4 linked regions of the Stegostoma tigrinum genome follow. The protein of the gene in region 1 interacts with the protein of each later gene in a pairwise test. Links are inferred from orthologs where the notes say so. Each region holds a gene or a part of one and is shown in the gene's direction. Other genes may lie near its edges.

Evidence for each region.
Region 2: the proteins of atxn1a (region 1) and tollip interact in binary tests that used the Homo sapiens proteins (3 or more experiments, as listed by UniProt). The link is inferred for Stegostoma tigrinum from reciprocal best matches to the Homo sapiens genes ATXN1 and TOLLIP.
Region 3: the proteins of atxn1a (region 1) and ttc19 interact in binary tests that used the Homo sapiens proteins (3 or more experiments, as listed by UniProt). The link is inferred for Stegostoma tigrinum from reciprocal best matches to the Homo sapiens genes ATXN1 and TTC19.
Region 4: the proteins of atxn1a (region 1) and pepd interact in binary tests that used the Homo sapiens proteins (3 or more experiments, as listed by UniProt). The link is inferred for Stegostoma tigrinum from reciprocal best matches to the Homo sapiens genes ATXN1 and PEPD.

What each region holds. Positions count from the first base shown.
Region 1 is NC_081355.1:38,405,248-38,412,555, reverse strand, and holds the start of atxn1a (ataxin-1a), read left to right. Parts: upstream 1-4,289; 5' UTR 4,290-4,726; intron 4,727-7,308. UniProt on the Homo sapiens protein: Chromatin-binding factor that repress Notch signaling in the absence of Notch intracellular domain by acting as a CBF1 corepressor. Binds to the HEY promoter and might assist, along with NCOR2, RBPJ-mediated repression. Binds RNA in vitro.
Region 2 is NC_081370.1:25,089,748-25,096,894, forward strand, and holds the start of tollip (toll-interacting protein), read left to right. Parts: upstream 1-4,142; 5' UTR 4,143-4,277; coding exon 4,278-4,313; intron 4,314-7,147. UniProt on the Homo sapiens protein: Component of the signaling pathway of IL-1 and Toll-like receptors. Inhibits cell activation by microbial products. Recruits IRAK1 to the IL-1 receptor complex. Inhibits IRAK1 phosphorylation and kinase activity.
Region 3 is NC_081358.1:127,544,299-127,551,669, reverse strand, and holds the start of ttc19 (tetratricopeptide repeat protein 19, mitochondrial), read left to right. Parts: upstream 1-4,356; 5' UTR 4,357-4,390; coding exon 4,391-4,550; intron 4,551-5,377; exon of another isoform or gene 5,378-5,502; coding exon of another isoform or gene 5,503-5,545; intron 5,546-5,852; coding exon 5,853-5,944; intron 5,945-7,371. UniProt on the Homo sapiens protein: Required for the preservation of the structural and functional integrity of mitochondrial respiratory complex III by allowing the physiological turnover of the Rieske protein UQCRFS1.
Region 4 is NC_081369.1:65,641,614-65,648,537, forward strand, and holds the start of pepd (xaa-Pro dipeptidase), read left to right. Parts: upstream 1-3,922; 5' UTR 3,923-3,983; coding exon 3,984-4,000; intron 4,001-6,924. UniProt on the Homo sapiens protein: Dipeptidase that catalyzes the hydrolysis of dipeptides with a prolyl (Xaa-Pro) or hydroxyprolyl residue in the C-terminal position.

The sequences.
Region 1 (7,308 bases):
AATCTCCGGTAAAGGGAAAAATGCTTTCAACATCCCCCTCATCCTAATGGCCATCTTTATGTATGGCTCCAAAAAGCTATACTTGGACCCTGTGCAGAAAGACCGAAATGTCAATCTATGCTCCAGTTCTATCTGTCCTCATTTAGTCACATTGGTTCAGAATGCTCATCAGTTAGCTTGTGCTGCACCAGCTGGCCATGCAGAAATGTTTCTGCAGAAAAACAACTTTGACCACAAGTTAATCATGCACCGAACTGGAAATCAACCTACTTGAGATCCTGCTGGAAAGGAGATAGTGGATCTATTAGATGATTCCTGCACCAACATTTTCAAACAAGTGCCAGGACTTGGCTTGGCTGCTGAAGAAAAGGGCACTCTGTGTCAGATCCTGAACACATACCTAATAACTCCATGCCAGTATACACTGTCCCTGTGACAGCTGAGCTGGGGAAGAGACTATCACCCCTATACTTCCAGAATGTGCATTGCATCTGGAAAGTAATGTAAGATTTTTGTTTAAGTTTACCTTGAACAATTCCTTATCACAGGACTCTGCTCCACGGATAGTTCTCAACAGTGCACACCAAGTAAATATTAACTGCTGCTTGATCCATAAACTTGCTGAATGACAAAGAGCTGAATACGACTGATTGTTGCAGACTGCCAAATTCCAAGGTGCAGGATGACATATAGTGGGATGCTGTTAACCTGAATGCAGCCACTTGAAAGGATTATTGGTAAGGCTACAGTACAGAGCTTTGCTACCCTTGAACACAGAAGGGCTAGAGCCAATATAAGACCCCTCAAGATTTATATGTGTATCTGAAATTAAGCGCAGAAAATATACAATTGTTGTAACACAAAATGAGGTTATTGAGCCTTTGCTAGCACTGTGCAAGACCAAATTAGCTAGTTCCACACAAACAGAAACAGAAACAGAAGTGGCTGGAGAAACTCAGCAGGTCTGGCAGCATCTGTGGAGATAAAACAGAATTAACATTTTGAGTCCAGTGACCTTTCTTCAGATCTCCAGCATCTGTGATTCTTGAATTTATTTTAGCTAATCCCATGATCTAACCTTTCTCCATAGTCCTGCAATTTATTCTGTTCAGATGCTAATCAATTCCCTTTTTAAATCCATGATTAAAACTACTTTCACCACTCTCCTCATAGTATATTCCAGAATCTAACCACTCACAACATTGTATATTGTCCTTATATTGCATTTAGTTCTTCTTGTCTTTCATCACAATCAGTATCTTCTGTTTCTCAACCCTTCTGCCAAAGGGAACTTTCTCTTCGTCCAGTCTGCAATAACACCATTAATGCTTTTATCACCTTTATCAAATCCCCTTTCAATCTTCTCTCTTCTAAGAATAATCCCAGTTTGTCTAATCTTACCATGTAACTGAAGTTCCTCATTCACAGAATCACTGTTGCAAATCCTTTCTGCATCCTGTCTAAAGCTTCACATATTATAAATAGATTATATCCAACAACTCAGAGTAGTAAGGGTATGGAACGCTTTGCCTGCAACGGTAGTGGATTTGCCAACTTTAGTACATTTAAATCATCATTGGACAAGCATATGGATGTACATGGAATAGTGTAGGTTAGATGGGCTGCAGATTGGTACGGCAGGTCGGCACAACATCGAGGGCTGAAGGGCCTGTACTGTGCTGTAATGTTCTATGTTCTATATAGTACTTTTAATAGAATAAAATGATACAGAGCACTGCATAGGAGCATTATAAAACCAAATTTGGCATGAAGTCAAGTAAGGAGATACCCACAGGTGACCAAAATTGTGTTTAAAGAGAGATGTTTTAAGCAAATTTCAAAGGACAAAGGAAAGGTTTTAAAGGAGGAAGTTTCTGGCAGTTGAAGACACCAGTACTGCAGCAATTAACAACAAGATGCTTAAGAGACTAGAATTGGATATCTGTAGATGACTTAGAGGGTTGGCGGGCTGGAGATGAATTCAAAAATAGGGAGGATTGAACCATGGGTGAGATTTCAAAACAGGTATGGGAATTTTAAAATCAAGGCATTGCTTAACTGGAAGCCGTTATAGGCAAGCAAAGCAGAAAGATGAAATGAGCAGGACTTGGGGCAAATAAAGGCAGAGGTAGCAGAATTTTGGATGGCATCAAGTTTACAGAACAGAAGAATGGGAAATAAGAAGATATGAAAATGGGAATTGATGGTCATAGTGATGTGCAGACTGCGGGCAGAATCTCCATTCTGGCTGGAAGTTTTGTACCGTCTGGCTCAGATTTAAACAGGCAGAAGATGCAGTCAATGGCAAAGAAAATGAATGTATAACGTGGGTTAAAGAAGATTGGTTCAATTTTCCCAAAGCTTAATTGGAGAAAAATAATGTTATGTAAGTGCAATATTATTTTTGTGCAGTCTGTATGTTCCATGGAGTAAGGGATCCTTGAGTGCATGAATTATATTTATTTAAATTGATCTGTATTCAATGTATACTGAATTATACTGTAATTTTATAATTTATCAATATATAATTCTGGGACAAACAGGCTCTTCTAGATCTAAGAACCAAAGTTTAAGACTTTCCAACATGTGTTTGATTTACTGAAGAGCCAGGGTCCAATCTATCCTGTTGGTATTCCCCATCCCGATCATCACCCCTTAACTATCTTAGGGTGGGATAATGCCAGGTGCATGCAGGCAAAACTAAGGAATGACCTTCACATTACAGAGGTCAAGGTGATTTGCAGGGCACCTTTTACTGATTCCTATTCCCCATTTAAGATTGTGTTTTTAAATATGTTAAATATGCTAGTTAATGCTATGAGAGTTAGCCTAAAGCTAAATACCATATGTTGCCATTGTAGAGTGCTGTACAGTCCCAGTAAACCATGACTAAGCTAATTCATCGCTCTGTATCAGTTCATAAACCAGCTGGCATTTTAGAATTACGTCAGAAATGAACAGTACAGTCAGTAATCTTATGAGTTTCCATATGTTAGTGCTTTAAGTGTGCATTTAATGGGAGCAGTTGATTACAGGGAACTACCACAGTCAATTCTATTTGTGTTTTATGTTGCATGTACATTTATTAAAAATATTGTGCAGCATCCTATGTATAAAACATTTTCTTTAAAAAATGATAAAACCCAGAACTACATAAATAGGTATATATCTCAACTGCCACTTAGTTTTTTCAAATGCATTTATCAGGACTTGACGGCTCTTTGAATCCTTAAGTTTTACAACTCTGAGTACATTCAGTTTCCAAAAATACATGTATTACGTTGAAAATTATTATACTATAATTGGAACACTGAACGTCAGACAATTCCAAGCAATTGCAGCTTAGAGTACTAAATTGACGCATTGTAATTTCTGGGAAACAAAAAGCTTTAATTTCATCCATGTAAATAAGGTGTTGGAACAGGATCCACTGACATTTCCACTAGGAAAACAACAGTAAGACTGTGTCCAGCACTTGGTGTTGTAAAGGACAAACACACTGCAGCAACCCTAGTGTGTGAAGTCTGCACTGCATTGAAACATTACATCATCCCTGACCAATCAGAAGTGAATGAGTGACTGGGAGCGATTCCAGCTGTTTATGTTGCTCTCAGGAAAGAGTGAGCGCGGCCCTTCAGCTGGATGGGATATTCCTGCAGCGTGTTTCTGTTTAAAGGAACCTTTCCAAAACTGCTCCACTAACGCCCTTTTTAAAGGGATATTCCGCAGTTCACTTCAGCAGACAGCGCATTTCGAAATCAAGGATCACATCGATGACGAAGGCAAAGTTTTAACTGCAGACGTTGGAAAGATGAGTGGGAAAGGCAATCTCATACTCGAAATCAAACCTTGAAGGGTTCGGCTTTGAAGTATAAATTGGGTTCAAGTGAAAATGCATGGGTGTCATTGGAGTAGAGCGAGTGGAATCCAAAACGCACATGCATCACACACTTACACCAGTCGTTTGCACTTGGGACAGTTTGAATTTGAGCATTTCCTCCATTCAATAAAATCCATACTTCAGAATGACAAAAGCTTGTTAAAAGCTGAAAAAAGTTCTACTTACATAAATTGGTTCATACATATGTTGATATATTTATCGTCTATTCAGATTCATTTTACCTTTCTATTCGGCCCCATTTCTTCCACTTCAGCACAGTAAGTTCCTGCATCGGACGAGTTAAATTAGTTGGCAGCTTGCAATCTGCACTGTTGCAACAAACACGTTCTATTGTACTGCCCTAGGCAAGTTACTCGACTGGCTTTTAAAGGACTTCTTGGTTGTACTGTACACGTGACTTTTACAAGTTTAACTTTACTTTCAAAATTTATCGCACTCCTGCGCTGACGCGTAGATGTATATACCATGCCCGTACATAACACACTGCAATATGTTGACTGTGTTCTGTTGCAATTAGGACTTCTTTACGTAGTTTTCTTCTAGCCCTCTCAACGCGCTCACATTAATCTCTGGATCTGTTGGCAGCCGGCCAGTATGTGTGTTGTCTTGCATCCTTTGCATATAGTAGAATCCTTAAGCTATCAGCAGACGCAGCCAAGTGCTCCATATTTGGCTTATGTTACACACACGCAGTGAGAGCGAGCGCTGGAGGAGAGAAGCAGAGCAGGAGTGGTGTCTGCAAGACAGACATTACTACAGAGCTACAAGCTCGGCTTCCTTCATCGCGGAGCGCCACGTCTTGGGCATCACCGCCTTTTTGATGTTGTAAGTGTTTTATATAAAGAAATATATATTTTACGGTTCTTCTCCAGCGACATTGGCTATTTGCTTTCATTTCCTTGCTCTGTGTATGTGTAGGTTGTTATGAAATGGCTAGGCTCCCTCTTATAGTACAAACACAGCCTTGCTCAGAAATCTGATTGAGAAAACTGTGTGTGTATTTTGTGTGGTCTGTGTGTGATTATGAAGTGCTGCCCTGAGTATGTGCTGTGATGTTTTCGTCCGGGTTGTGTGTGAGTGGGGAGCGTTAGGATTGGGGTTGGGGGGACGGCAGGTAATGCTTGGGGGATGATGTTTTGCTGGGGAGGAGGCGGATGGGGGTGGGGGGTTGGGTGCTGGTAGGGGTGGAGACTGAGGGGATGCCGCGGCAGGGCTCGGGAAACGGCGGCTCGTCAGGGAGCTGACCGCTTGTTTAATCGGGTCATGTAGGAGACGGGCTCGCCAGAGCGTTGCGTAATCGGGTAGATAGGGCTGGTCTGCAGAAGGGAACATTTTTATCTTGTTTACAACGCTGCCGATACATTGTAGTGCGATATCTATGCGGTCAGACCATCCAAGCAGACAGTGGCACCACGCAAGTCTCTTTATTGTTACTACCTCGGTGACTCATCGGCAAATCTTATTCCTCCATCTGCTTTTTTCTACAACATTATTGCAGGCTGTTGGTTTTGAGTGTGTGTTGAACTAGGTCGTTATCGATGGCCAATAAGCATATAAAAATTGTTGGACTTGATAAATCTCAGCACATTTGTCCAAAGGACCTATTGGCTCCAGAATTTATCTGTAGCCCTTATCCCACAAACACGTCAAGAATTTTGTGTTTAAAATGAGTACAGTTTGTGTCAAATGAAAGAGCAACAAAGGGCGGCGAGATCAGTTTTTGTCCACTAGCATTATGCGTCTGACACTTTGACTATCCACCCTCCCGTCATTCAAATGCAGAAATTCAAGGCAACACCACATTAAACAAACACTTAAAACAAAACGTGGACATTGTTTTCTGGTGAGTCAGTAACTCCTCTTTCTGAGGCAGAGCTGCTGCGTAAAAAGATCATGAATGAGACTGGGAATACTATAATTATTTCCAAGCCATTGCATCAGTGTTGACAATAAGCAGTTAAAAATACATTAACTGTGTGTTAACATGTTCAATGCATTGGATAATGAAAGTCTCAGAAATGATTTCCATGTGTGGAAGTTCTTGGAGAAGCTGTCGTGTGCACTACACGTACAAAGATGTTGGTGTAGGATTTCATTGCGCTACCCCTGGACCTGATCAATCATGTAATTAGATCAGGTTGCCCTGGTAACTGACGTTATTTATCTCTTCAATGAGGTGCGCATGCTTATCTTGTAAAAGAGCTTGTGTCCTTCGGCATATTTCATACTGTAAGTGCCGGGTGGTCACATATTTATCCATTATTTTAAAATGGATTGAATCCGGTATTTATTTCAGCAGTAAATAAACATATTTGTTCGAAGTATTTCAAGATAAAAGGCCTTGTAACGTGTATACATAAAATACTAGCTGATAGCCAATCAAGGCCGTGTGATGGCAAGATGCTGCTGTGAACACCGCTTGAAGGCTTGCTGTTAAAGACCTAACTTGGAGGTGGAGTGTGGGTTATGTGAATCTGGCTCATTGTAACTGTTTAGAAACTGTTGAGGTCAGTCAAAGGGCAGTTGTAACTAAGTTTTAGGTGCCAGATCAGCGACTGCATTTACTGTCCGTTTAAAAAAATGTATCCAGTAGCATGGTGTGACGTAGTGTCTGGAATGTAATACATGCACCACACTGGATGCAAGTTTTTTTTTATACTTTTGTGTTTTCGGATGTAATAGTTATGCATGTTAGAATAAGCCACCTAGGTGTCTAAAAAATTATGTTGTATCTGTGGAACACTTGAGAATGTAGTATTTATTGTGCTGGAGATTTTCAAATATGATCTAATTTCTATTAAGTGGTAGAGATGTACATAGAAGGATATGATAGCCACATTTTCAATTTTGCTTTCTTAACAGAATCAATATAGATACACAATATATGGTGTTGTACAAAGTATCCACATTAAGTCTTCATGGAGATATTTAACATAATCTAGTGTCAATATCATAATTTGTGTTGAGTACGTTTTGGCTGAGGACCATTGGTGATCAGCAGTGAATTTTGAAAAATAGCTGTGTTTTGGCATGCATCAAAATCAGTACATCTTTTAGTATGAGCTGAAAGTAGGTGAGGCTAAAATAGTATCAGAGATAATGGGAACTGCAGATGCTGGAGATTCCAAGATAATAAAATGTGAGGCTGGATGAACACAGCAGGCCAAGCAGCATCTCAGGAGCACAAAAGCCGACGTTTCGGGCCTAGAGGTGAGGCTTGTTGTTGCTGGCACATACTTGAATGATTAATCTTTGTATTCATTTGAGTGATTAAAAAGAATCAATTACCTATACCTACGGGTATCAATCTCAGTATTCTATAATCAGGGAGATCATTCGGATACAAAGGAGACAGCTGAGTTGAGTCACAGTAGGTATTCATGTTTTTTATGTTGCCCTTACATTTC
Region 2 (7,147 bases), on another chromosome or scaffold:
ACATTTCAAGTCTGTTGACTTTTCTTCAGAACTCCAAAGTGCAAGTTGCTTTTGATGATGGTGCCGGATGAATGTTAAGATAATAATAAATATATTAGACAGCCATACCTGATCATTTTTGTTACTATCACTATTAGCTCTGACATTGCAAAACTGCCACAGCTGAGGGGCTGCCTGGATGATGTGTGACATAAGTGCGAGATTTCATGTACAAAAAAACTGAAAATAATGCCACATGATAGAGAAGTGATAGGCTATTCAGACCACTGGATTTGCTCCATCATTTGATCATGGCTGATATGTTTTTCAACCCCCTTCTCCTCCCATCTCCCAGTAACCTGTGATACCCTTACTAATCAAGAACCTATACATCTTTGTCTTAAACAGACACAATGACTTGACCTCCACAGTCTTCCAAGGCAATGAGTTCCACAGATTCACTACCCTGTGGGTGAAGAAATTCCATCTCATCTCAGTTCTAAAGGGTGATATTTTTAATCTGAGGCTGTGTCTTCAGGTCCTATTCTTTCCTCTTAGTGGAAACCACCTCCACATCCACTCTATCCAGCCCTCTCAGTATTCTGTAAATCTCAATAAGATTTTCACCTGCCATCCTTCGACACTCCATCAAGAACAGTGCCAGTGGTCTTAACCGCTCCTCACACCACTCCTCACCCTTCATCCCTGGGATGACTATTGAAAATGTCCTCTGGACCTCCTCCAAAGTCAGCACATCCTACCTTACATATGGAGCCCAAAAATGCTCACAATATTCTGAATGCAGTCTGACCAGAAGAACTTGGAAAGTCCAGTTATACAGCATCCTCAGTATAACTCTGCTCTTATATTCCAGCTCTTGCAATCAAGTGTTTGCCTTCCTAACTGCCAACTGAGCCTGCATGTTCTAGTTCAGAATCTTGAACTAGAACTCCTAAGTCCCTTTATGCTTCAGATTTCCAAAGCCTTTCCCCATTTGGAAAATCATCCACCTCCTATTCTTCCAACCAAAGTTCATGACCATACAGTACTCTTTCTGCCACTTCTTTGCCCATTCTCCTAGCTTTTCCAAGTCCTTCTGAGGCCTCCCCACTTCCTCTAATACACTTATCCCTCCACCTAGCTTTGTGTAATCTGCAAACATAGCAACAATTCTCACAGTTCCTACATCCAGATCATTAATGTATAACATGAATAGTTGTGGTCCCAACATTGACCATGCTGAACTCCATTAGTCACGGGATTCCATCCTGAAAAAGACCCCTTTAATCCCATTCTCTGCCCTTTGCCAGTCAGCCAAGCCTCTATCTATGCCACTTTCTTGCGCCTAACACCATGGGCTCTTCTCTTATTTAGCTGCTTTCTCTGCAGCACTTCATCAAAGGCCTTCTGGAAATCCAAATAGATCAGGTTCACTGGCACTCCTTTGGCAAAGTTGCTCATCACTTCCTCAAAGAATTTTTATAGATCTGTCAGGCATGAAGCCTTGATGAAAGCACTGGTGATTCAGTCCTATTTTATCATGCATTTCCAAGTACTCTCAACCTTAATAATGCTGGAAGGGTCACCAGACCCGGAACATTAACTCTGTTTTCTCCTCCACAGATACTGCCAGACCTGCTGCGCTTTTCCAGCAACCTTGTTTTTGTTCTTAATAATGCACTCTAAAATTTTACCAGTGACCGTTCTAAAGTTTCCTATTTTCTGCCTCCCTCTCTTAAACAGAGCCATTTTCCAGTCCTCTGGGACGCTTCCTGATTCCAATGATTCCCGAAAGATCACCACCAATGCCTTCACAATCTCAAGTATCTCCTTCAGAACTCTGGGGTGTAGTCCATTTGGTACGGATGATTTATCAATCTTCAGACCTTTCAACATCCCCAGCACCTTCTTCTTAGTGGTGGCCATGACACTCACCTCTGCCCCTTGACTATCCTGACGTTCTGGTATGTTACTGGTGTATTCCACAGTGAAGGCTTATGCAAAGTATCTATTCAGATACTCCACTATTTCTTGTTTCCTTTACTACTTCGCCAGTCTCATTTTTCAGTTATCCAATGTCTACACTTCACTCTGTTACCTTTCAAATATCGAATAAAACTCTTGCAATCCTCGTTTATATTACTAGCTAGCTTACCCTTATATTTCATCTTCTCCCTCTTTGTGTTTTTTAAGTCATCCCCTGCTGGTTTTTAAAGGCTTCACAATTCTCTAGTTTCCTACTAGTCTTCCCAACGCAGCACGTTTTTCTTTTGCTTTTATGCTGTCCCTGACTTACCCTGTTCGCCATGGTTGCCTCGTCCTTGCCTTAGTATGTTTCTTTCCTTGGGATGAAAATAGTGCAATCAACCAGTATTAGCAACCAGTTTCCAGAGAATGTTTACATCTGTGTAAATATTCAGTATGCCAATTAGTATTTTCAATTTTGAGTGCTGCCAGGACAATTTAGAACAGGACACGAAGCTATCGCCAAACATCATCATGCTGTCACAGCATGTCCTACTTCAAGATGGTGGAGACAGAGCAGGAACAGTTCGGGCTTGTTTGCTCCAGTTGCTTGTCTTTCTTTTTAATTTTCCTCATTTTTTTAAACTTACCTTCTTATTGAGAGCAGCAGCATCATTGGCGGCAATATGAGTTCAGTGCAGAAGCGTGACAAGTTTTTGGATTCTTGATGGTGGAAGCAAGTTTGGGCCCAATCCAAGACCCAGTAGCATCAGCGACTGCATCACCGAGTTTGGACTATGATGCAGACTTGGGTCAGCAGCCAGGTCAAGTTTGAGCCCGTACACTCAACTGCATTGGTGGTGGTTACATCATCGGCAAGGACTCATGGTGGCAGCAGCATTAGTAGAGGCAACATGGGGGTGAAGAATGGCAACTCTGTTCTAGTGGCGGCAATGCAGTAAAGGCAGACTGCTTCATTCTTGGATCAGTGATAATGGGAACTGCAGATGCTGGAGAATCCAAGATAATAAAATGTGAGACTGGATGAACACAGCAGGCCCAGCAGCATCTCAGGAGCACAAAAGCTGACGTTTCCGGCCTAGACCCTTCTCTAGGCCCGAAACGTCAGCTTTTGTGCTCCTGAGATGCTGCTGGGCCTGCTGTGTTCATCCAGCCTCACATTTTATCATCCTGCTTCATTCTTGTGTTGTTCTTAGCATCGGGGTGGGGCAAGTGCCCAGATCCAGGTCTATGCTAAGCTGAACATTTCTTTATTTTCTGCCTTCACTTTCTATGTTTTGGTTTATTTTCTGTGTTTCAAACTGGTGCTGGATAATGGCGACACTAAACAATTTTCACTGTATTTGTAACAATAATAAATCAAATCAAATTCATTAATAGTATTCCTTATTTTGCGCAGTTGAGCCAACACAGGCCACATGGATATGAAAAGCAATGAAGTGTTACCATATTATTATGTTTGAATGCATTACAACAATAGTGTGATACCACGACCATGGTAAATTTATTCTGAATTGCTTACACACGTCAAATTGTGAAAATATTGACTGGTAAAACCTTTGCCTTGTTAAAATGCATAAATTATTTTTCATGCTGAGTACGTTATGCACTCCCACGCCGTCTGTCCCTGGAACCACAGTTATCCCACCTTTAAACCTACCTCTTTGGGAAAGCTTTGCGTTACTCGTTGCTAACGTCGCCGATCGTGACAACTTTATATATCTTAAATTTCTAAACAGGTTTGAATATTTCCTGTAAAAACACGGTATGACCAGTCGGACAAAAGTTGTACCCTAGCCTCAACCCGGGTGCAAAGGAAGCGAGGAAAAGGCTGGCAGTGACAGACTTCGGATACAGATGCAGAAAATGCTAGAAACACTGAGCCGCGTCCAGAAAAACTGATCAACATCCATTCCGTGGAAGCGGGAAGAGGCTGCCACCTATCAGCGAGCTCAGATCTACCTTCTCCAGAATTAACCGATCACAGGGCCCAGAATACCAGAGCCGGTGAAGGAGCAGCCTATCGTAGCTTTGTGATTGCAGGCTGTACCCCGAAAAAGCCAATCGTAGCGCTTATGGGTGTAGACCCTTCCCAGGAGCAGCCAATCGTGGAGGCCCGCACGCCGGCACTGCGCGAGAATTAACCGATGGCAAGGCACTGAGCTCATTTCCCACCCCTTCCTCCAGCCAATGAGCAGGAGTCGTGAGCGGCCCTTAGCCCAGTTGATGTTCCGCCGCCCAGAGAAGGAGCTGTGAACGGCTGTAGGGGTAGTGGCAGTGGTGGACGAGAGTGTGGCTTGGCTGGATTGGACATGGCGGCTACAACCGTCTCCACCCAGAGGGGCCCGGTAGGTTTCCTCTTCTTATTTTCCAGTTATGGGTGATGTGAGACTACGATCTCTGCGGAGTGTGCGGCCTTGTCAGGGAGTAGGTGTACTGACTGAGCTCTTGGGCTTGGCTGCGCCAGATCCTACCCGCAGCTGGCTGCCGTCCCCGTGTCTTGTCCCGTCCTTCCTGTTTTTGTAATGCTCCTTTTTTAAAAAAAAAGTTCATCTTGGAATATACAGACAGAAAGATCCTGAGGATGTTTACTGTCTTCTGATATGTCTTAAGAACGTTTAAAGGGCCAATCAGGAAAATAACTGGACAGATTGCTTCAGAAACATTTCCATCAGTATAGGATAGTTACGTAGAGATATTAGGAACTGCTGATGCTGGAGAACCTGCGATAACAAGGTGTAGAGCTGGATGAACACAGCAGACTTATGTTTCGGGTCTGGACCCTTCTTCAGGGTCTAGGCCCGAAACGTCAGCTTTCGTGCCCCTCTGATGCTGCTTGGCCTGCTGTGTTCATCCAGCTCTACACCTTGTTATCTAGGACAGTTACGTAGCGTCTCGATGACGGTGATCCCACTGTTTGGAAATAGAATTCGCTTATCCTGACGTTCTTGAGTGTTTATCATGTTGGTAATGTGCCGAATAGATAAAAAGCATCTGTTGTAGGGTTGCCAACGTTGGGTGTATTCCTCGTGGTTTCATCACACAAGTCCTACCTTGTAACATCCCAAGTTCTACCAAAACACACTGTCCCGTGCTGATGATATTGGTTGCCCAATTTATTAGTCCTCGTTGCGCACTGCCTTCCGAGATTAATTGGAAAGTGAGCAATGTTAATCACCGTATTATGTGATTCTTGACTGTTCGAGAATCTCAGGAAGCTCATGGTGTGGAAAGTCATTAGGTTTATTAGTTTCTGAAACAGCTATTTGAGCACTTTATCTTCGTGTCAATCTCCTTTCTTTTGGTACATTGTTTCTGTTTAAATAATTGTCCGACGCTCTCTTGAATACTTCCATTACTGGACAATGCGTTCCAGACTCCACCTACTAACTACTTGAGGGGGAAAAAAGTTCCCTGCATTTTCTTCTTTTGCAAGCCATTTTGAAACCATGCCAGCTGATTCTTGATCCTTCTGGAAGTGGGGACAGTTGCTTCCGATCCACCCTGTCTCGACCCCTCATGGTTATCAAAACTATTAAATCTCCTCTTAGCCTTCTCTCCAAAGAAAACAGTCCCAATGTCTTCATTGCCTCCCCAAAACTGAAGTGTTTCATCCCTGAAACCATTTTTTTTTTGCAAACCTCTTCAGTCTTTCTGGTATATTCACAGCCTTCCTATGGTGTGGCACATGGAGCTTGTATACTCCAAGTGACATCCGAGTACCAAGGAATGACCATCTCTAAGGAGAGAGAATCTAACATTGACGTTCAGTGGCGTAGCCATTACTGAAACACTCAATCAACATCTTGGGGGTTACCATTGATCAGAAACTGACGTGGACTAGTCATATAAGTATAGCAGCTGGGTCAGGAGCTGGGAATCCTGCAGTGTGTAACTCGCCTTGTAACTGCCTAAAGCCTTTCCACCATCTCCAAGGCAAAGTCAGGGAATTCTTCTCACTTCCCTTGATGATTGCAGCGCCAACACTCAGGCTTGATACCATCCAGGACAAAGCAGTCCACTTGAATTGGCATCATTTTCACAATCATTCAGTCCTTCCACCAATGACGCTTAGCAGCAATGTGTAATATTTACAAGATGGTCTGCAGGAATTCACCAAGGCTCCTAAGACTGAACCTTTCAAACCTATACTCGCTAACATCTAGAAGGACAAGGGTAGTGGACATGTAGGAACACCATCTCCAAGCCACTTTCCATCCAGACTTGGAAATATATTGCCATTCCTTCAGTGTCATTGTTTCTAAATCCTGAAACTCTCTCCCTAATGGCATTGTGGGTGTGGCTTCTCCATACAGACAGCAGTGGACACATTTATACTTTGTCTCCATGTTCTTTGTGCCAGAATGTATCACTTCACACCTGTATGTTGAATTTCATCTTCCGACCATCATTCCAATCAAGAACTTTCAATGGTTTACGAAGCCAGAACACAAGCATATAGTTCAAGATACCACAGGATTTAAACTTGTACATCGCCACAAAGCTGCCTTGCCTTGACCTCAGCAGGCTTGTTTTCCACCGCCTTCAAGCTGTATTTCCGTTCATAGACTGCTTTTTTCCAGTGATATTGCCAAAAGACTCACCATCAGCAGCGACCCTCATGGGATGTCGAACAGCTCCCCAGATGGATTATTCTAGACAAGGGGGTGACGTTTCTGTGACGTGTTGTCCTGTGGGTGAATTCATCCATGATCCCATTTCTTGGGCATTGTTCAGGGTTGTTTTGGAGTTGGAAGTTTCAATTCATCCTGCCGAAGAACGCATTCCATTCACACCTCTCGATTGCAAGCACTTTGAGCACATTAGAAATTGGAAATTTGGAAAATTTTGCCACCTTGGTTTTTTTTTTTTGACGCCATGCCCTGTTTTAATGGTGTATCTACCGCTATGTTGTTGCATCGTATCGCTAACTCTAAGAAAGTGTGTAAAGTGATGCTGCGAATGCCTTTAATTTCCTTCTTTGCCTTGACCTCAGCATGTCAACTGCTCAAAGCATTATTGCTAAGATTCGGAATTCCGTGTCGACTTTTAACCTTTTGAGACGTTTTTGTTATCCGTTTGACTGACTTGCAAAAATGTCCTTCAGTCTCCTTTTTGTTTTAAAATGGTAAATGTTTGAATCTGTTTTTTAAAAGTAACGATTTTGTTTTTTTTTGAAAGC
Region 3 (7,371 bases), on another chromosome or scaffold:
TTTGGGTTGAAGGGCCTCTTTCTATGATTCTATGACTGAGTCCCTTTGTGCTTCAGATTTCTGAAGCCTTTCCCCATTTAGAAAATGGTCTCAGCCTCTACTCTTCCTACCAAATTTCCTACCAAAGCTTTCCCACATTGTATTCCATCTGCTACTTCTTTTCTCACTCTTCTAGCCTGTCCAAGTCATTCTGCAGCCTCCCCACTTCCTCAGCATCACCTGAGTGTTCTGTCTTCCTCACTTTTTGAATAATAGAATTGCATTTGCTATCACAGGAGAGCTGGGGCCTCAGCTTCTTGCAATTTATATCAATGTTTTAGAATTTGCTGGGAGTCCATTGAGTCCATACTGTGCTTATTAAAATTATTGAATGATGCTAAATAATGATAGAAAACAAAACAGGACAAACAATGCAAACTAAGGACAGAAAAAAACAACCATCAGGGCAATTACAAGAGAACAAGGAAAAACAGCAGAAATTGACAACATTGTAAGAAATGCCTTTTTAGAATTAAAATTGTGCCCCTTATCTAAGAAAAGATGTCCTTGCATTGGAGACAGCCCAGAGAAGGTTCACGTGGCTGATGCGAGGTACAGTGTAACCGTCTTATAAAGAGAGGTTGAATAGATTGGGCCTGTACTCATTGTCATTTAGAAAAGCGAGAGACAACGTTATTGAACCATGCAAGTTTCTTACGGGCTTTACAGTGTCAATGCAGAAAGATCAGACAGTTTAGGACCAGAGGGTCTAATCTCAGAATAAAGGCTCGTACATTTAAGACAAAGATGAGGAGGAATTTCCTGTTTTGGAGGGCTGTGAAGATGTGGAATTGTTTACCACAGAGGGCTTTTGAGACAGGGTCATTAAGTATATTTAAGACTGATTTTTCATCAGCAAAGGGAATCAAGGGTTGTGAAGAAAAGGCAGGAAGGTGGAGTTGAGGATTATCAGATTAGCCATGATCTCATTGAATTGCGGAACAGACTCGATGGGCTGAATGTCCTACTATTGCTGGTCTAGGGCACTGCTGAAGCTGGTTCTGTAAAGAAAAAAAGTGATTAATTGTTTCTCTTAGGGCTATATTTAGTGACTTGGATAAGCATATGGATAATGATGGGAGAATGTAGGGGGAGGGGCTTAGATTAGTTCACAGGTCGGCGCAACATTGAGGGCCGAAGGGCCTGTTCTGCACTGTATTGTTCTATGTTCTATGACTCTTAGAAACATATTAAACAGCCCAATAAAGATGCTGTCACAATAATGTCACTGGACTTAGATTCATTTATTTGTCACATGTACTAAATACAGGAACACATAAAGTACAGCAAAAAGTGCACAAAGATACCACTCACTAGTGCTCACTTGGTTACAAAAACTTAGCATTAACTAACCAGAAGCTTCTCTGAAGTCAGAGTCAGTTGGATAATCAACACCCCATGATGGGACTGGAATTCCAACTATTGTGTTATAAAGTGCCACAGAGACTGATTGTTCCTGGGAAGAATATCATCCTCAATAAAATTAGAAGGTAGCCCTATTCTGTAGCAGACGTGTTTATGTGGAATGCAACTGTTTGTCTCAAAATAACTGGTTACACCCCTCTTCACTCTGCACCCCTCCACCAACATGCCCTCCCCCCTGGAAGCTTGATCACATGGTTCCTTCAGTTCTGAACCTTTTAATTCTGCTGTATGTATTTATTTACAGATATATTCAATGATATCGAAACACATAATTCCAGGCGACAAAGGAGAAGACTCTGCCATGTAAAAAGCAGTTAATAACGTGCTTTTTGTATAAAAGCAAAATACTACAGCATCTGGCAAACAAATTTGAAAAGCACAGAAATTGCTGGAGAAACCAAATAGGTCTGGCAGGTTCTGTGGAGAAAAAAAGACGTTAATGCTTCGGGTCAGGAATAACTCGTCAGAACCTGTATGTTGTGTGCTCTCAAAGTAATCATCCTTCTTTTGTTAAAGCAGTTAAATCAAAATTAAATTACAGCAATATTAGGCAGCATGGTGGCTCAGTGGTCAGTACTGCTGCCTCATAATGCTAGGGACCTGGGTTCAATTTCACCCACATGTGAAATTTTCACATTCTCCCTGTCCCTGTGTGGTAAGATGCTGCTTGTCCTGCTGTGTTCATCCAGCTTCACACTTTGTTATCTTGGATTCTCCAGCATCTGCAGTTCCCATTATCTCTGTTTTTTTTTCCAGGTGCTCTGGTTTCCTCCCACAGTCCAAAGGTTTGCAAGTTATGTGAACAGGCCATGGGAAATTGCCCACAGTGTCCAAGAATTGGCGTGGATTAAGCATGGGAAAGGCAGGGGATAAGACAGTTGGGATGGGTCTGGATGGGACGCTCTTCAGAGGGGTGGTGTGGACTTGATGGACTTTAATGGCTTGCTACCACACTGCAGGGATTCTATGAATATTCTTGAGTTGAGTTTATAAGGAATTTTTAAGGGGAACAAATTATCTCTGACTTCTGAACAGCTCGTCAGCCAATCGATCACCATTCATCCTCATTTCATGCTGCGACTTCTGGCCTCAACCATTTGGTTTCTATTTTCAAAATCAAAGACACTGATGAACTGGTATCACTCGGTTTGTTAGAGATAATGGGGACTGCAGATGCTGGAGATTCCAAGATAATAAAATGTGAGGCTGGATGAACACAGCAGGCCAAGCAGCATCTCAGGAGCACAAAAGCTGACGTTTCGGGCCTAGACCCTTCATCAGAGAGGGGGATGGGGGGAGGGAACTGGAATAAATAGGGAGAGAGGGGGAGGCGGACCGAAGATGGAGAGTAAAGAAGATAGGTGGAGAGAGTGTAGGTGGGGAGGTAGGGAGGGGATAGGTCAGTCCAGGGAAGACGGACAGGTCAAGGAGGTGGGATGAGGTTAGTAGGTAGCGGGGGGTGCGGCTTGGGGTGGGAGGAAGGGATGGGTGAGAGGAAGAACCGGTTAGGGAGGCAGAGACAGTTTGGACTGGTTTTGGGATGCAGTGGGTGGGGGGGAAGAGCTGGGCTGGTTGTGTGGTGCAGTGGGGGGAGGGGACGAACTGGGCTGGTTGAGGGATGCAGTAGGGGAAGGGGAGATTTTGAAACGGGTGAAGTCCACATTGATACCATATGGCTGCAGGGTTCCCAGGCGGAATATGAGTTGCTGTTCCTGCAACCTTCGGGTGGCATCATTGTGGCAGTGCAGGAGGCCCATGATGGACATGTCATCAAGAGAATGGGAGGGGGAGTGGAAATGGTTTGCGACTGGGAGGTGCAGTTGCCAAGGAGGCTTGGGGACCGCTTTGCAGAACACCTCCGCTCAGTTCGCAAAAAACAACTGCACCTCCCAGTCGCAAACCATTTCCACTCCCCCTCCCATTCTCTTGATGACATGTCCATCATGGGCCTCCTGCACTGCCACAATGATGCCACCCGAAGGTTGCAGGAACAGCAACTCATATTCCGCCTGGGAACCCTGCAGCCATATGGTATCAATGTGGACTTCACCAGTTTCAAAATCTCCCCTTCCCCCACTGCATCCCTAAACCAGCCCAGTTCGTCCCCTCCCCCCACTGCACCACACAACCAGCCCAGCTCTTCCCCCCCACCCACTGCATCCCAAAACCAGTCCAACCGGTCTCTGCCTCCCTAACCGGTTCTTCCTCTCACCCATCCCTTCCTCCCACACCAAGCCGCACCCCCAGCTACCTACTAACCTCATCCCACCTCCTTGACCTGTCCGTCTTCCCTGGACTGACCTATCCCCTCCCTACCTCCCCACCTACACTCTCTCCACCTATCTTCTTTTCTCTCCATCTTCGGTCCGCCTCCCCCTCTCTCCCTATTTATTCCAGTTCCCTCCCCCCATCCCCCTCTCTGATGAAGGGTCTAGGCCCGAAACGTCAGCTTTTGTGCTCCTGAGATGCTGCTTGGCCTGCTGTGTTCATCCAGCCTCACATTTTATCACTCGGTTTGTTTGCACTTTTTACGAACTGAACAATTGCCTTATCCTTTTCAATTTAATCCTTGTGCAGCCATGTCAGCATGTATCTGTTGTAAAGTATTGCCCACCGTACACCTGACAATGTGTGAAATAAACACTATTTCTGGTTAAATTTACACCTTAACTTTATAAAGTCCACCAAAAAAGCAGTGAGAAAACGTGTTCTCACAAAATCAGAAATCAGTCTGACACACATCCCGCCACCCAGACACTTTAATTCCAGACTCCTTTAAGAACATGGGGGTACCTGGCCCTTTAAGAACATGGGGGTACCTGGCCCTTTAAGAACATGGGGGTACCTGGCCCTTTAAATGTCTGTTGATCAAATGTTCCGCTACCTGTTTCCGGTGTTGACGTGTTTCCGCCCCGTTGCCGGGGTGATGCTGCCGTCGGCAGTATCCCGGGGCCTGAGCTGCGGCCGAAGGGTCAGGATTCGCGGCGCCTGGGCCGCGGCCCCCGCCCCCGCCCCGGCCAACGCCCACGCCCGAACGGAGAGCCGCGGCCGCCCCGGAAATGGGAACCTGAGCGCGGCGGCAGTGGGTAAGAGGGGTGGAACCGGTCGGTCACCCGGCCCTGGGCGGAGCCTGCACTGACCCCGCCTCCCCCCGACGTCCTCAGTCCCGACCTGATTCCCCTCTCTGTGGGCTCCCGTGGCCCGGGCCGCAGGGTCCATGCAGTGCTCTGACCCTCACCGTGATCCCCACCCCTCCCCGTGACCTTGCCCCACCCCTCTCCCCGTGACCTTGCCCCACCCCTCTCCCCGTGACCTTGCCCCACCCCTCTCCCCGTGACCTTGCCCCACCCCCTCTCCCCGTGACCTTGCCCCACCCCTCCCCGTGACCTTCCCCTCCCCACCCACCCTGTGACCTTCCCCTCTTTCCCCCCCCCGTGACCTTCCCCTCTTCCCCCCCCGTGACCTTCCCCTCTTCCCCCCCCCGTGACCTTCCCCTCTTCCCCCCCCCGTGACCTTCCCCTCTTCCCCCCCCCGTGACCTTCCCCTCTTTCCCCCCCGCGTGACCTTCCTCTCTTCTTCTCCCCCCCCTCCTCCACCTACCCCGTTCTCCTCTTCCCCGTGACCCCCACCCACCCGTCCCACACCCACCTGACCTTCCCCTATCACCCCCCCCGTCCCACACCCACCTGATCTTCCCCTATCACCCCCCCCCGTCCCACACCCACCCGACCTTCCCCTATCACCCCCCCCGTCCCACACCCACCTGATCTTCCCCTATCACCCCCCCCCCGTCCCACACCCACCTGATCTTCCCCTATCACCCCCCCCCGTCCCACACCCACCCGACCTTCCCCTATCACCCCCCCCGTCCCACACCCACCTGATCTTCCCCTATCACCCCCCCCCCGTCCCACACCCACCCGACCTTCCCCTATCACCCCCCCCCACGGACTATGGGGAGTCTTTCCTGAGAGGTTTGAAGTTGCTCTCTCAGTGGGGGGCAGCCTCTCGGGAGACGGGGCTGTTGTCCTGGCATCGATGGGACATGGAGCTTGTCAGGCGGTGTGCCCTGCCTCTTGGGGTAGGGCAGTGAACAGTGATCTCCAGCTGATCTCACTCCACCCAGTGTTGTGATCCTGTCCTCATGGATGTTGGTTCCCTAGTTACAGGATCAAGAGATAGGTTTTTCATGTTCTGTGGACATATGTCGCCCTCCCTCCCTGCAGTGTTCACCCCTGTTCCTCCCCCTACCCTGGTGATTGCCCCATTATAGTCAGCATGCCAATCCACTTACTTCACTCTGGACTCTCTCATAATTGTGATCACCAACCAGCCTCCTTTTCTTTCACTTTCTCTAAAGTGCTGTTTTCTGATTTCCTTCTCTCCAGCGTTTCTTGCTGCCATCCAGTTGTTCTCGCACCATGAGAAGGAGCAACAGGACCCTGAGGATGCGATCATCCTACTGATCAAAAAGTCCAAGGTTCAGAATGGTTTGCTTCTCACTCTCCCTTTATGCCAGCTCAAACATTGTCATCTCATCAGTCAGCAGTAGGTCCTCTGGCTGTCCATTCTGGCCCAAATGACGTCCACCCTTACCAGGAGGAATAAACTTGTGGTGTCAGCACGGATCAAGTATAATAAAGCTGCCAATGTAACACCTTAATTTGAAAACAGAAGCAACCAAAATGCTTGGTAACTGTAAGCCAGTTACCTTAACATCACTTGTTGGGGAAAGTGCTAGCGTCTTTTATAAAGGATGTAATAGCAGAGCATTTAGAAATATAATCAAGCAATAGTAAGATGGCTTCATCAATGGGAAACATGCCTGATAAGTTCTCTAGAATTCTTTTGAGGTAATAATGAAGAGGATTAGATAAGGGGAAAAGTGTGAATGTGATGTGTTAGGATTTTCAGAAGGTGTTTGAGAAGGTACCACACATAATGCTATTTAATAAGAGAAGGAGGCACTATATTAGCCTGGATAGAGAATTGGCTAAAACATCAGTTTGTATAACGGAGGGTATTTTCAGATGATAACCTATAACTAGTTGAGTGCCATAGGGATCAATACTGTTCTTGCAATTATTTGCAATATATCACAGAATTGTTATGGTGCAGATTGATGCCATTGGGCGCGACAGTTCCTCAAATGAACATTGTCATGTGTGACCGATCTCCTACGTCCTTGCTCCGCCACACTCTTGCATGTTATTGTATCCAAGTAATCAGTGAATGCTGCCTCGACCATGTTTCCAGGCTGCACGTTCCAGACCCTAATTGTTCACTAGGTGGAAAAGAATGAACTCTCATCACATTTGCTGCTTTTGCGAGACTTCTAATTTACGCCATCTCATTTTCCTTCCTTTTGCAAGTGGAAGGAACTTCTCACTATCCACTTCTATCTACCCTTTTCATGATTTGTACTGTAGTCCAATTTGTGGACAGCACAAAGATAGGTGGAAAGGCTCGTAGTGAGGGTGACACAAAGACTTTGCAGAGGCATATAGGCAGGTTAAGCAAGTGGGCAAAAACTTTAAATGGAATATTATGTGGTGGACATGTGAGGAAGAATAGAGGAGGCAAATATTATTTAAATAGAGAAAGCCTGCAGAAAGCTACAGCATAGAGTTTGTGATTTCTCATGCACGGATCTCAAATTGCCAGTATCCAAGTTCAGCAGGTAATAGGGAAGACAAATGCAATCTTCGCTTTCCTTTTACAAAGGGAATGAGTCATTTTGCTAAAACTATACAAGGCCTATACAAGTCAGACTGTAGTTGAATACTTGAAGCAGTTCTGAGCCCCTTATCCAATAAAAGGCACACTGGCATTGGAGACAGTTTAGAGAAGGTTCAGTAGTTTGATCCTGGATAAGGAGGGATACTCTTGTGAGATAGTTTGAGTAGG
Region 4 (6,924 bases), on another chromosome or scaffold:
ATCATTGAATCCCCTCAGATCAACATCCTGGGGTTTGTCATTGACCAGAAACTCAACTGGACTCACTGCATTAACACAATGGCTACAAGTGCAGGCCAGAAGCTGGGAATACTGTGGTGAGTAACTCACCTCATGACTCCTCAAAGCCTGCCCACCATCTACAAGGCACAAGTCAGGAGTGGGATGGAATACTCCCCACTTGCCTGGATGGGGGCAGCTCCAACAACACTCAAGAAGCTCGACACCATCCAGGACTAAACAGTCTCCACTTGATTGGCACCACATCCACACCCACCACCACCGACACTCAGTCACAGCAGTGTGTACCGTCTAAAACACACACTACAGAAATTCACCAAAGATCCTCAGACAGCACCTTCCAAACCCATGGCCATTTCCATCTAGAAGGACAAGGGGCAGCAGATACATGGGAATACCATCCCCTGCAAGTTCCCCTCCAAACCCCTCACCATCCTGAATTGGAACCGTATCGCTGTTCCTTCACTGCCACTGGGTCAAAATCCTGGAATTCCCTCCCTAAGGGCATTGTGGGTCAACCCACAGCAAATGGACTGTAGCAGTTCAAGAAGCAGCTCACCCCCACCTCTTCAAGTGCAACTAGGGAGGGGCAATAAATGCTGGTTCAGCCGGCAATGCCCATGTCCCAGAAATGTATTTTAGAAATAAATCCTCAGACCATGCAAAATGCCACATCTTCTACACGCTTTGCTATTTTGCAGCGTTCTAGTGATTGCATCGACTGTAGAATTTCCAGTCAGGGACTGTCAGCGTTGTTGACTTATACTCATCCTTCAAACACCGTTCAACTCTGTAAGTCTTCATCTACATCTCGAAAATCGTTCTGCAAAGCTTCCAGGGGGTGGATGTGATCAGCAACTCAACTATTCCATTTGCTCGCACCCCATCCTCCTGGGCTTGCTATTGATCCAGGCTTTTGATAGGGATTTGTTGGCCAACACTGTCCATTGGTGCAATGATGACTTGTTCAGGGTAGTGTAATGATCCCAGTTGATAGTAATGCTGGGAAAGTCACACAAGGACAAGCTCCAGAATGAAAATTTGGTTTGATGGATTTTTCAAAAAAGAGCTTAGGTAGTGTGATGCCCAATCGCTGTGTTTCTACAACAACTGAACAGAAAGCATTTCACAAAATAAAAATTAATAAAAATGAAGCTATTTAAATATAGAACTCAGTCAGAAGTATCTTAATCACACAGCAAAAGTAAAATTTCAATCTGTTACCTGACTTCATCCATGTGGAGATGGTGGGCAGGCTTTGGAGAGTCAGGAGTTGAGTTATTGCTGCAGGATTTGTAACCACCGACCTGCTGGAGTAGTCACTGTGTTTGTACCTCTAGCTCTGTTCAGCTTCTGGTCAATGGTAACCTGTCAGGATGTTGATAGCTGGGGATAGATTGATGGTGAGGCTACTGAAAATGAAGGCTCAGTGGTTAGATTCTCACTTGTTGGAGATGGGTCATCGCCTGGCAGTTGTATGGTGTGAACACCAATGTGGCAATGTTTTAGTAACAAGGTGTGAAGCTGGATGAACACAGTAGGCCAAGCAACATCTCAGGAGCACAAAAGCTGACGTTTCGGGCCTAGACCCTTCATCAGAAAAGGGGGATGGGGAAAGGGTTCTGAAATAAATAGGGAGAGAGAGGGAGGCAGATGAAAGATGGATAGAGGAGAAGACAGGTGGAGAGGAGACAGACAAGTTAAAAGGGTGGGGATGGAGCCTGTTGAGGTGAGTACAGGTGGGGATGTAGGGAAGGGATAGGTCAGTCCGGGGATGATGGACAGGTCAAGGGGGCGGGATGAGGTTAGTAGGTAGGAAATGGAGGTGCGGCTTGAGGTGGGAGGAGGGAATAGGTGAGAGGAAGAACAGGTTAGGGAGGTGGGGATGAGCTGGGCTGGTTTTGTGATGCAGTGGGGGTGGGGTAGATTTTGAAGCTTGTGAAGTCCACATTGATACCATTGGGCTGCAGGGTTCCCAAGTGGAATATGAGTTGCTGTTCCTGCAACCTTTGGGTAGCATTGCTGTGGCACTGCAGGAGGCCCAGGATGGACATGTCATCTGAGGAATGGGAGGGGGAGTTAAAATGGTTCGCACCTGGGAGGTGCAGTTGTTTATTGCAAACTGAGCATAGGTGCTCTGCAAAGCAGTCCCCAAGCCTCTGCTTGGTTTCCCCAATGTAGAGGAAGCCACACCGGGTACAACGGATACAGTATACTACATTGGCAGATGTGCAGGTGAACATCTGCTTGATGTGGAAAGTCTTCTTGGCGCCTGGGATGTGGGTGAGGGAGGAGGTGTGGGGGCAAGTGTAGCATTTCCTGCGGTTGCAGGGAAAAGTGCCGGGTGTGGTGGGGTTGGAGGGGAGTGTGGAGCGAACAAGGGAGTCACGGAGAGAGTGGTCTCTCCGGAAAGCAGACAGGGGTGGGGATGGAAAAATGTCTTGGGTGGTGGGGTCGGATTGTAGATGGCAGAAGTGTCAGAGGATGATGTGTTGTATCCGGAGGTTGGTGGGGTGGTATGTGAGTACAAGGGGATCCTCTTTTGGCGGTTATTGTGGGGACGGGGTGTGAGGGATGTGTTGCGGGAAATGCGGGAGGCACGGTCAAGGGCGTTCTCGACCACTGAGGGGGGAGGCAGTTGCGGTCCTTGAAGAACGAGGATATCTGAGATGTGGATGTGAGTTTGCTCGCCGAGCTGGAAGGTTAGTTTTCAGACATTTCGTCACCATTCTAGGTAACATCATCAGTAAGCCTCCGACGAAGCCCGATATCTGAGATGTACGGGAGTGGAATGCCTCATCCTGGGAGCAGATGCGGCAGAGGTGAAGGAATTGGGAAGAGGGGATGGAATTTTTGCAGGAAGATGGCTGGGAGGAGGGGTTTGTTTTAAAATTGCAGCACTGTGACCACCAATGGCTAGGGGAAGGTCATCACCAGAACTTTGCGCTTTCTCTCCTATTTTCCAATTCTATTGAAATGTGGATTTTTCATTCTGTTTCTGTTCTGAAGGTGTGCTCTCTCCATGATGCTGACTAACCTATTGTTTCTCCAGTACTTTTTTTCCACTCCACCCTGCCTGGCTGCATTCTGCAGCATACATGGACCTTTAAACCCAAAAAGCCTTTGAAAACTAATCCAACGCCTTCCATAGGCCAGCACTGCAATATAATTTTATGATCATTACTCTCTGACATCTGAAATTGCTGACTCAAACTGAGTTACAGCTGCAAGGATCACTCACTTCATATGACTCGTGCCAATTCAACCACCGAAACCATCGCAGCTTGGTCTGATTCTATCCTTTCAATGGGTAACCAGGACACATTAGGGTTCAACGGGCAATCTGCGAGTGGCGTCGGAGGACATTGGTAGGGTGCTGTCAATAAAGGAGGAAATGGAATAGCATAGCAGGTCAGACAGCACCGGAGAAGCAGGAATGCCAACGTCCCAGCCCATAACATTGTTGCTTCTGCCCCTCAGACCTACCTGTGCTTTTCCAGCTCCACATTTATTGACTTAATGTTTCCAATATAACCTGGTGCTGTGTGATTTCTGACAGAATTTGTGGGCTGAGAGAGCTCACAAGACCAGACAAATGGTGTGGCTGAAGTGCAGAATAAGAAGTCCCTGCAGCTGTTTGGGAGTGATAGACGGCCCTTCCCTTGATGGGCTGAAGGGTCGCTTCTGCGGCCTCCCTGAGCGGGGGAGAGGGCGGGGTCACAGTGGGCGGGGTCACCGTGGGCGGGGTCAGAGCGCACGGTGTCGGACTGGGCGGGCTCAGTGTGGGCAGGAAAAGCGAACTACAAATCCCGGCGGTCTTTGCGGCCACACGTTTCCAGACCCACCCCACCCCTCGTCGAGTCACTATTGGCGAATGGGGAAGAGGGCGTGACCCGACTGGGGTTAAAGGCCACGCAGCTCACGTGAGAGCAGAAACCAGCAACATGGCGGTGACAGGAGAGTGAGTGACAGAGAGTCGGGGTAATGGGGTAATGGGGTAATGGGGTAATGGGGTAATGGGGTAATGGGGTAATGGGGTAATGGGGTAATGGGGTAGGTAATTGGGGGAAAGTGTGAGTGTGTGTGTCCGGGGGTCGGGGTGTCAGAAGAGCGACTGGGCCGTGCTCCGAGCCGCGTTGCTATGGGGCAGGGATCTGGTTGGTGGGGGAGGCCGGTTTGGAGCGGAGCTCCCATTCTGGAGCCTCCTCACTCCCCCCGGGATGGAGTCCCTGACTGATGTAGGGATAGACGGGCCGCGGGGACGGATTCCCTGTTTGGTGTGGGGGGGAGTTTGGCCCTGTACCTGCCCTGTGGGGCTAGGGGTGAGTGGCTTTCCTCAGGTGGAGCTGAGACTCGGTGTGAAACACTGCGTCATATGTCGTATTGTGAATTTGTTTGTTTATAAAATTGCTTGTTTACCGTCACACCAAGCGAGCACTTGTGTCTGTCAGTCGATTCCTGAGTTGATCTTTTAAAAAGTGTTTTTTAAAAAAATGTTTTCACCGGGTTAAAGATGAAATCTTTTGTGAAAGTGCATCTGAACTTGATCATTTGGCAAACTGAAGCAGTAAGTCAGAACTGTTCGGGATCTTGAAGGTCGTGAAAACTGAAAGAACGACAGACGCTGTAAATCCGAAACAAAAACAAGAAATTGCTGGACAAGCTCAGCGGGTCGGGCAGCATCTCAGAGGAATCAGTTGATGTTTCGGACCTGAAACGTTAACTCTGATTTCTCTCCTCAGATGCTACTAGACCTGGTGAGCTTTTCCAGCAATTTCTGTTTTTTCTGTTTTTGTTCATGAATATTACGACCGGGTTGAATACAGTCTTCATGGGGAAGTTGCTGCACTTGTAGGGGAGTGTCCAGGCCACATTGTCATAAATACAGGATCGCCAATGACTGCAACAAAAGTAGCAAATACCAGTAATTCTTTGGTGTGGTAGCTTCAATGAAGTAGAGACTCTGTCTGTTGCATCTCTCCCTTTGGCTTGAGCGTTTCTAGAATTTTTAAAATTCATTTATGGCATTTGGGTTAACAAGGTGTGGAGCTGGATGAACACAGCAGGCCAAGCAGCATCTCAGGAGAAGGAAACCTGATGTTTCGGGCCTAGACCCTCTGTTGACCATGTCCTTCCAGATGGAAGTGGCCAAGGGTTTAGAAAGTGCTGCCTGAGGATCTTTGGTGAATTTCTGCTGTGCATCTAGCAAATAACATGCAGTGCTGGTGGAAGGAGTAGGATGCTTGAGGATGTAGTGCTAGTCAAGTGGGGGCTACTTTGTCCTGAATGGTGTCAAGCTTCATTAGTGTTGTTGGAGCTGCATCCATCCAGACAAGTGGGGAGTATTCTGTCACACTCCTGGTTTGTACCTTGTAGATGATGGACAGGCTTTGGGGAGTCAGGAGGTGAGTTACTGCTGCAGGATTTCTGGCCTCTGACCTGCTCTTGTAGCCATTGTCGATATGGCGAGTCCAGTTGAGCTTATGGTCAATAGTAACCTCAAGAATGCTGATATTGAGGGATTCAGCGATGGTAACACCATCGGATGTCAAAGGGCAGTGATTAGAATGCCTCTTATCGGAGATGGTCATAGCCTGGCATTTGTATGGCATGAATGTTACTTGCCATTTGTCAGCTCAAGCCTGGATATTGTCCAGATCTTGCTGTATTTGAACACGGACTGCTTCAGTATCCGAGGAGTTGGAATGGTGCTGAATATTGTACAATTATCAGTAAACATTCCTATTTCTGACCTTATGATGGGTGGAAGGTCATTGATTAAACAGCTGAAGATGGTTGGGCTAAGATATTGCCCTGAGGAACTCCTGCAGAGATGTCTGAAACTGAAATGACTGACCACCACTAACTACAGCCATCCTCCTATGTGCCAGGTATGACTTCCACCATTGGAGAGTTTCCCCCCCCTCATACTCATTTATTCCAGTTTTGCCAGGGTTCCTTGATGCCACACTTGGTCAAATGCAGCCTTGTTTTCAAGGGCTGTCACTCTCACCTCCCCTCTTGAATTCACCTGTTTTATCCATGTTTGAATCAAGGCTGTAATGAGAACAGGAGCTGAGTGGCCCTGACAGAACCCAAACTGGGTGTCACTGAGCAGGTTATTGCTGAGCATGTGCTGCTTGATAGCCACTGTTACTGACACCTTCCATCACTTTACTGATGATCGAGAGGAGACTATTGGAGCAGCAATTGACCTAATGGATTTGTCCTGCTTTTTGTGAACAGGACATATCTGGGCAATTTTCCACATTGTTGGATAGATGCCAGTGTTGCAGCTGTACTGGAAAGCTTGGCTAGGGGAGCAGCAGCAAGTTTTGGAGCACAAATGTTCAGTACTATTGCCAGAGGTGTGTCATGGCCCATAGCCTTTGTAGGATCCAGTGTCTCCAACCATTTCTTTGTATCATGTGGACTAAATTGAATTGGCTGAAGACTGTTATCTGTGATGCTGGACACCACTGCAGGAGGCTGAGATGGAACATCCACTCAGCTATTCTAGCTGAAAATTGTGACGAAATCTTCAGCCTTACCTTTTGCACTGATGTGCTGGGCTGTTCCATCATTGAAGATGGAGATATTTGTGGAGGTGCCTCCTCCTGTGAGTTGCTTAATTGTCCACCACCGTTCACGACTGTATGTGGAAGAACGTCTGGTTCAAAATTGGCTTGATGGCAGGAAGCAGAGGGTGGTGGTTGAAAGTTGTTTCTCGGACTGGAGGCCAGTGACAGTGCTGTGCCACAGGAGTCAGTGCTGGGACCTTTGTAATTTGTTATTTACATAAATTATCTGGATGTGACTGTACAAGGCATGATTAGTAAGTTTGTGGATGATATAAAACTGGGAGGTATCGTTGACAGTGAAGAA